2 linked regions of the Mus musculus genome follow. The main gene of each other region encodes a partner of the protein of the gene in region 2 in a complex. Links are inferred from orthologs where the notes say so. Each region holds a gene or a part of one and is shown on either strand. Other genes may lie near its edges.

The links.
Region 1: the proteins of Rims2 (region 2) and Unc13a are in contact, whole or in part, in a crystal structure (PDB 2CJS), measured with the Rattus norvegicus proteins. The link is inferred for Mus musculus from reciprocal best matches to the Homo sapiens genes RIMS2 and UNC13A. Residues at the interface, in XP_063118965.1 of Rattus norvegicus: Asp102, Gly103, Cys104, Ser109, Gln112, Val123, Leu125, Ser127, Asn128, Lys129, Val134, Met135, Trp136; in NP_074052.2 of Rattus norvegicus: Tyr23, Ile36, Trp65, Leu69, Ile70, Trp71, Asp72, Thr73, Met74.

What each region holds. Positions count from the first base shown.
Region 1 is NC_000074.6:71,668,819-71,673,399, forward strand, and holds the start of Unc13a (protein unc-13 homolog A), read right to left. Parts: upstream 2,940-4,581; 5' UTR 2,830-2,939; coding exon 2,808-2,829; intron 1-2,807. UniProt on the Homo sapiens protein: Plays a role in vesicle maturation during exocytosis as a target of the diacylglycerol second messenger pathway.
Region 2 is NC_000081.6:39,456,505-39,460,323, reverse strand, and holds part of Rims2 (regulating synaptic membrane exocytosis protein 2), read right to left. Parts: intron 3,647-3,819; coding exon 3,547-3,646; intron 2,561-3,546; coding exon 2,437-2,560; intron 736-2,436; coding exon 689-735; intron 1-688. UniProt on the Homo sapiens protein: Rab effector involved in exocytosis. May act as scaffold protein. Plays a role in dendrite formation by melanocytes.

The sequences.
Region 1 (4,581 bases), on a different chromosome or scaffold from region 2:
GCTGTAGGGCAGCTGGGAACTGCGTTTTGCAAAGGATTCTGGGAGAGGAGGAAGGAAACAGACCGTGGAGGTCAGGCACCTCACTGAAGGACCCTGACCCAACCTTCTTGCCCAGCCCACAGTTAGCCAGGGAGTCCTCTCCCTGCTGTGTGTTTCTAGGCAAGTGGATGAACCTCTCTGGGGCTCAGTTTTCCTCGTCTGTGTAGTGGGGTTACTATGATGGACGGGCAGGTTCAACTCTGGTACTATTCAAGTTTCAAGACAAATTTATACCCACACCCCAGCTCTCTCTCTCTCTCTCTCTCTCTCTCTCTCTCTCTCTCTCTCATAGTGATTGTTTGTGTTTGTAGATCTTTTTCTTTTTCTTTTTTTTCTATCTTTGGAGACAGGGTTTCTCTCCATAGCCCCAGCTGTCTTGGAACTCACTCTGTAGACTAGGCTGGCCTCAAACTCAGAGAGATCCACCTGCCTCTGTCTCCCAGGTACTAGGATTAAGGTGTATACCACCATGCCCGGTTAAAATATATCTTTTTTTTTTTTTAAATGGAGGAAAGAGCTGTAAGCTAGCTACTATGAAAAAACTAAAACCTGAGTCAGATCCCCTAGAGAGTCAGACTGGATTTGTCTTTTGTAACCGCAGCTCTAGGGAAGCAGGAACAAATGGATCCTGGGATCCCCTGGCCAGCCAATCTGTGTGCTCAGTTTCAGTAAGAGAGTCTGTCTCAACAAAGTGGGAGATGCCTCAGCAGACTTCTTGCCACCAAACCTAATGGCCGAGGCATCTGGGATCTACACAGTGGAGGAGGGAGAGAGCAGACACCCCAAATTGTTTTTTTGACCTCCTCATACCTACATACAGTCAGGTGAGATCACAGGTCTAAGATGTACGTAGTGTATCTGCCTGTGACCAAGTGTGTTTCAGGAGGTGTGGTCAAGTATGTGCCTGTGTTGAGATGGGAAGGGATATTTTTTCCTACATTTTCCTCTGTATGTGTGACAAGGCTTGTTTAGCCCCGGCTGGCCTCAACTCCTGAGTCCCTGCCGATGCCTCCCAAGTTCTGAGGTGATTGGCATGTGCTGACAGGTTTGATGTATGCAGTGCTGGGGATGAAACACAGGCCTTTGTGCATCCTGGGCATCACTGTTTGAACTGAGCTATGAGCACTGTACCAACTGAGCTGCAAGCACTATACCAACCGAGTTATGAGCACTGTACCAACTGAGCTATGAGCACTGTAGCAAGCACTATGCATACTGAGCCTCAGCTCCTGCCTATCTATGTGTATATACTAAACGTTCCTTAGCATCCTGTGTGTACAATCTAGATCTGTATCTGCAACATGGAAGCTTCCATTGCAGAGGAGCCTGGAGCCCCCATATATCCAATGGCAGCCCTAGCCATAAAGCGTCCGTGGGGAGGGTCGTGGGTGGTTGGAATGAAGGTGTTCCCTGACTGTGAGGGTGAGTTCAGGTCCACTGGACACCTCCAGGCCCAGCTTTACCACGCCCAGCGCCCCACTCAGGCCCCACCTGCACCTCCCTACCTCTCTGCCTGTTTCCTCTCCCCAGAGCCCTACCCTTCATTCCCTGTTCTGCCCACCATGGTATCCAGGGAATTCAGTACAAATGTCTCCTGGGCCTGGCTTTCTGGAAGCCTCCTTTCTTAGGCTGCACGCCCTCCACCCCCACAGCTGAGCCTCCGGTTTGCGTCAGAGTTGGGGTGACGCGCCCCCCCCCCCCCGCCCCAGGAGGCAGGATGGGAGGACACGGGATTCAGGGAGCTCCCGAGGTGAGGATCCCCTTCACGTTCAGCTCCGCTTACTTCCCAGGTCTGGAAGCCGCGGATACCCAGTAATCCTGGGCAGTCGGAACCTTCGAGGCACAGGGTCAGAGAAAAGAGTTCCTGCTCCTTTAAGAACACCCGCGTCCAACAGACTAGAGCGATGCACCGCGGGGCGCGGGCGGGCTGGGCCGGGTTTGTGAATGGAGCAGCGAGCGGAGGGGGAGGGGGGGACAGGGAGGGGGAGGGGCAGAGGGGCGGGGCCATCTAGGGCTACACAGCCGCGGAGCTCAAATCCGCACACCGCCGCCCAGGTCTCCCGCCGCCTGGGTTCTGAGGGGATGGAGACTCGCCCTCTTCCTTACACAGCTTCCTGGAGGTGGGAAGGGGAAAGGGAGTAGGGGGTTCACCCCCCACCCTCCAAACCTAGAGCTCACAACGGTATCGGCACGCATCGCTACATGGCCAGTCGGTCGCCCAAGGTCTCCCGCTGTAGAGTTACCTGGCAGCCGTGCCTAGCCCCACCCGGAACTTCGAGGGGTGCAGGGGTCACACCTCTCCCGTTATTCCCTCCCTACTCTCCAAATGCGGAGCGTGGGCCTGGGCGTGGGCCTCGGTGCAGATGGCGTTTTGGCCCCAAAATAGCTGCTCCCCCACATCTCCTTCCCTTCCTCCAGCCCTAGGGGTGAGGCGAAGAGGGAGCCACGAGCTTCCGCGGAGCCTGCTGCACTGTTTAGGGCATACTGGGGATCGGAGAGGTTGCTCCTACGCTCAGTCCGGGCCCATTACCCCTAAACGCCCCACCCTCGCGCGCACGGTCCGCCGTCTCCTCAGCCCCAACCAGGGCCTATAAACCGTCTACACAGGCGCCCCGAGTCCCTCATCCACTCGTGTGAGTGACAGGAAGAGCACCTAGGGCTGATCCAAGTGCGCCCTGAAGCGCGCACCGGGGGTCCCCCTGCTGTGCAGCCCGACTCGGCTCATCCACGCACACCCCGCACTTTTCCCGCGTCCACGCAGAACCTACCTCCCACGCACAGCAGAGACATGACTCCAGGCGGCTAGAGCGCGGCGGGTGCAGCGCGGGGCTCAGGGCTTATGCCGGGGCCCGGCCGCCGGCCATGTCGCTTCAGCACCGGGGGCGCGGACAGCGCCTGACGCGCTCTGACGCTGCGGCGTGGGCGGAGCCGGAGACGCGTGACGGGGCGGGGCCGGGCAGACGCCTTAAAGGGCTCGTAAACTGCGGGGAGTCCAGGCCAGGTCGTATCTGTTTCAAAGCCCTTTGCTTTCTGGCTCAGCCTCGATGAGTATTTCTGTCCGTGCTCCACCTACCTAGGTCTCCACGTTTCTATTTCCTCTCTGAGCCACCTAACCTGTGCTCTTGTTTTACATTCTCCTGGGTAACAGAACTGCTATTTGCTGTCAATTCCCCATCTTCAGTGCCGCAGGAAGCTGTTTGTTTATTGGTTTTTTTGTTTGTTTTTTAATCCGGGTACTGACACTTGCGAGACATGTGCCTTACCTTCCCCGTATGAGGCATATACTCTACCACAGGCACATATCTCTGCCCATTTTATAACTTTACTTCTTGCGGGCCATGGACGTAATAGATCTCTGCGAGTCTGTGGCCATCCTAGTCTGCATAGTGAGATTCTATCTCTAAAAACCAAAACAAACAAAAAACACACGTTTATTGGGTCTGGAGAGCTGCCCAGAGGTTAAGAGCACCAGCTGGTCTTCCAGAGACCCCAGCCTTCTGTTCCTCGCACCCACATGGTAGCTCCCAACCATCCACAGACATGCACAGAAAGCAAAATAAATCTAAAATTTTTTTTATACATTACATTGTTTATGTGTGTAGAAATGAGGCACACACATATCACAGCGCCCATGGAGATCAGAAGGCAACTTTCCAGACTTGATTCTCTTTCCACTATGTGGGTTCCAGGAATAGAATTCATGGCTTCAGGCTTGGCAGGAGGAGCTCACTGGGATATTGTGCAGAGCTTCTTGATTTTTTTCCATGTGTGGAATGTGTGTGTGTGTGTGTGTGTAAGACAGAGTTTGCATGTGCCTGTGTGTGCATGTGAGTATGTTTGTGTGTGTCCATGTGTCTGTGTGTGTGAGTGTGTCTGTATGTGTCTATGTGAGTGTGTTTGTGCTTGTGTGTCTGTGTCTGTATAAGTGTGTGTGTATGAGTGTGTCTGTATGTGTTTATGTCTGAGTGTGTGTTTGTGTATCTGTGTGTCTGAGTGTATGTGTCTGTATCTGATAGTGTGTGTGTATGTGAGTGTGTCTGAGCACACACACCTGTGCATGTAAGCCCAGTGAACAACCCTGGATGCTGTTCCTCATGCACAGGTCACTTATTCATCATTGTAGCTGTTGGTAGCAGTGTCTTACTGGCCCTAAGCTCACAGCTTAGACTGGCAGCTCCTGGAGAAGGGCCTGGAGGTATGTATCAGCAGCTCCTCCTGTAGGCTTTGGAGACAGAATGGCGGCCACCCTGGCACCTCCACTTCCCTTAGGCACCTCAGGAGCATGGTAGCTACCCAGCCATCTTCACAGCCCTCTGCTGCTCTAATTAAAATTTATTTGCATTTATTTTACATTTGTGACTGTTCTGCTTGTATGTCTGTGTCCCACCTCAGTGCTTGGTGCCCACACAGGCCAGGAGAGGGTGTCAGGTCACTGACACAGGGGTTGCAGTGGTGCTGAGCCACCTTGTGGGTGCTAGGAATCAAACTTGGGTCCTCTGGAGGAGCCAGTACTCCTAACCACTGAGATGCTCAATTCCCCTG
Region 2 (3,819 bases):
TTTTGTCTCTCTTATTCAACATTGTGTTTTAAATTGCACCCCTGATCTTCTCTCCTTGTATCCCTTATACTACTCTTAGCCAATAAAGAGACAGTTCATCAGAAAACAGCTAATTTAAGATAAGAAATTGCAGTTGAAAACAAAACAAAGTTGAACTTACATGTTGGCTGTTCCATTACTGCTGTGATATAAAATTAGATCTACTATTTTAATCTTGAAAAATATAAATTAAAATAAATAAAACTATTCACTAGATTTTTCCAAACATACCCTTCTACAAATCATTAGCGTTACAAAGTTGCAAACTTTAAATTTTGTGGGAAACTTTGGGAGTAGGTAGCTTTTGTAAAAATGGTCATGACTTTTCACTGGGATACATGAGTACATAGGCAGCCAAGACTTGCCTCACTCTATACTTAATGTGCAGTTTATTAGAACATACCTTAGTAAAGGTCCTTAAAAACCTACAATAATCATGGCAGGGGTAAAATAAAATATTGAAATGATTACAGAGCTTTATATTTTTCAACAGAGATGTGAAATTCTATGAAAATTTCCACTTTTATTCGATTTAATGTGTGAGGCTATAAATTTACTTATCTTATTCCATATTACTACATAAACTTATTCACTAGACCTCTACTGAATGATATGCTTAAAGACATATCCTAGAATAAATTAAACTTACTGGATTCCAGTTGTGCATGCGTGCTATCAGGTATTCTAGGAATATCTCTGGAATGATAGAAAAGATATAAAAAAAAACTTTTATCAACTGAAGCATCTTGTCTTCCAATAAAACTAGGAATAAAAAGTGAAAACTGGGAAATATGTATATAAGTATTTATGAAAATGATAAAAGTCAAACCACAATTTTTGGTCGTTTCTGGGCAAGCTGACCTAGATCTTCTATATAGGTGAAGCCAGCCTTGAATTTGCCACACAGTTCTGTCTTTTCCTCCCAAGACTGGGATCACATTTTTACAACTTCCTCCAACAGGAATTAAAACCTATATGCATCTTACCACATTTATAAAAATATACACTTTTATTTTCTATGTGCCTTACTATATAACCTTAGAATATAATCTACTCTTTAAAAAAAGCTTTGTATTCAATAAGGTAAGTTTTATAAGCATATATTAATGCAATTCTTTATTTTTGCTTTATTTTCTAAATAAATTACACTGGAAGTCAAATCAAATATCACTAAAACATTGCATTGTAACTAAAAATTTTAAATGTTACATTGATATCAGGCAATCATGATTCATACCAGGAGTTTCAAAGTTACCTTGTAACTATATTTATATCAAAAATACCTATACTTATTTGATATACAAGTAGATAGCAAAAACTAGGTTCATTCATAAATGATTATAAATTATTTAAAATATTAAATATATAATTTTATATACTTTAACATTAAAATAAACACACTATGGTTTTACCATATTTCCAAACGTTAAAGAGTCAAAAGGCTCCAATCTATTATTTCCGAGGTGAATGAGAACAATGCATGATTGCAAGAAGGAATTTCTCCAGCCTCCATTCCCAGGCACTTGCCTCCCATTTTATTATCTAATAAGTCACTCAATAGTTCACTGTCAAGTTACACATTTTTTCTAATTTAATTTTGATATGTCTTTTATATTATAGAATATATGTTTCTACAGAGAAAGCACTGGCAGGCCATGTCATGAATAATCTTTATACTACAGATGAAAGGACTAACCTCACTGCCACATTTGGGAAAAATAAGCTATTTGCAATAAAGACAATGACAATGTGAGTTTTAATGTTGCCTATTTTGATCTTATTAATCACATTTTCAAAGAAACTACTTTTCCTTAAGTGAGCCCTGGGTCTGGATATCATATGCTTTTTGTTTCTGTCTCTGTAATCTAGCCTCCATTTGAAAAACAAAACCAAAAAATTTTAAGATATGTAGACTACAGTGATTGACAGTTTTGGAGTGTAGAAGACTACTAAAACTTTTCCTAAAAGTAATGATATTTTTCTATTTTGTAATCAACAACATATTTTATTGTAATCAAATAAAGAAAAATCATTAATTGTGGCCAAATATTTTGGTTAAAGAAAAAAAAAGTCTAACAATTTTGGATTGCACACTCCAAGATGCTAAGTAGTAGTCAGTTTTACACACAAATAAGTTACAGAAACTGGAAACTGGGGCTGGAGCAATGGCTCTGTGGTTAACAGCACATACTGTTCATGCCGAGGACCAGGACTTGGTTCCTAGCATGTACATGCAGGTGTACAACCATCCACTCAAAACTCCAACACCAGGGAACATGGCCACTGTGTGCACAGGCATGCATGATGTGCACACACACGCATTCAGACAAAACACTCATACACATAGAGAGAAAACAAATGCATTTAAAAGTAAGCAAATTGCTAAAACCATCTTACCCAATTGGCCTTGAAACAACAAGCTCAACTTGTGGTTCAGGTTTGGATTCTAGAATAATGTTGTAAACTTCCTCAAATGTGGCTCCTTGCAATAGCCTCCCATTCCATTCCAAGACTTCATCACCTATGTGTCAGGAATAATCTTATAAATACAAGCCAGGTCCATAAAATATAAAAGCAATCGCTGGATTTCAGCAAATTGCAAGAGTACATCCACCTGAAGAGAGTAATGCACACATTGAGAACAACTCGGGGGCACAGAGCTTGATAGCTAGGATAGCATGTTTCACCCACAATAACAATGGTCAATAGAAAAACACTGCGTAAAGTTACATCCATTGATTTCTTAACACAACGTCTAATTGTAGACAATCAGATGGAGACAATGATCAGGGTCAACCCTCTCTTTGAGGACTACATGATTCTATTCTAGATTTGTAGTGTACACATGATTAGTTAAGCGCTGCTTTAAAGAGTGTCAGTTGCCTAAACTCTTAAGATCTTTTGTAAAATGTTAAGTGAGTCACATTATAGGAAATCTTCCTCAAGGACTTTAAGGATTTCTCCGATAGGAATTGGAGGAATTGGCCAAATAATATGGAATGACATAATGAGAAAATGTGCATTCATTGATGAGGTTTGTTTCCTAAACAACATTGAAATTTTTTTCAAAACAAAAATAAAGATTTGGGGAAACAAAATAAGCTAATTTTACAGGCAGATTAGAACATTCACCACTAACATATCAAGGCATGTGGGGTGTGGGAGGAATTCTGGGAGAAGCTGGGGGAAAGGGGGGAAATGAGCAAATTGTAATTTGCTCCAAAAAAAGCAGTTTTCAAAACAATATTGCGTCTAATATATACAGGGAATAGAAGATATAACTTTCCATTAATGACAAAAAGTTTTAATTTACGTGAGAAAACTAATTATTACTGGTAGAATCACTTGTACAAGAGAAGGCTTCTTCTTAACTATTCATGCCTAGCATTTTTCTTTTGGCAGTGCTAATGATCAAACCCAAGGCTTTGAACATGTTGGACAAACATCCTATGACCTTAGCCCCACAGCTGGCATTTTAAATGTAAATAACCAATGGTAAAAACCTACCTGGTCTAAGATGTCCTACAGTATCAGCTAAACTTCCTTTTTTTACTTTGGTAATAAATGCACAAAGTCGACCTGATTCAGTCATCTTTCCTCCTACAACCTGTTTAAAAGAGGAAAAGATTGTCTGACATACTATTAAAGTGAACATAGTCAACGACTCAAGTAAAAAAATCAGATCGATTTAGAGATTCTAGACCGTAATTTAATGTAATAAATGTTATTTTTTTAAATAGGATAATGTTACCATTAGAAAGTAAATGCCTGCAAAAGGAA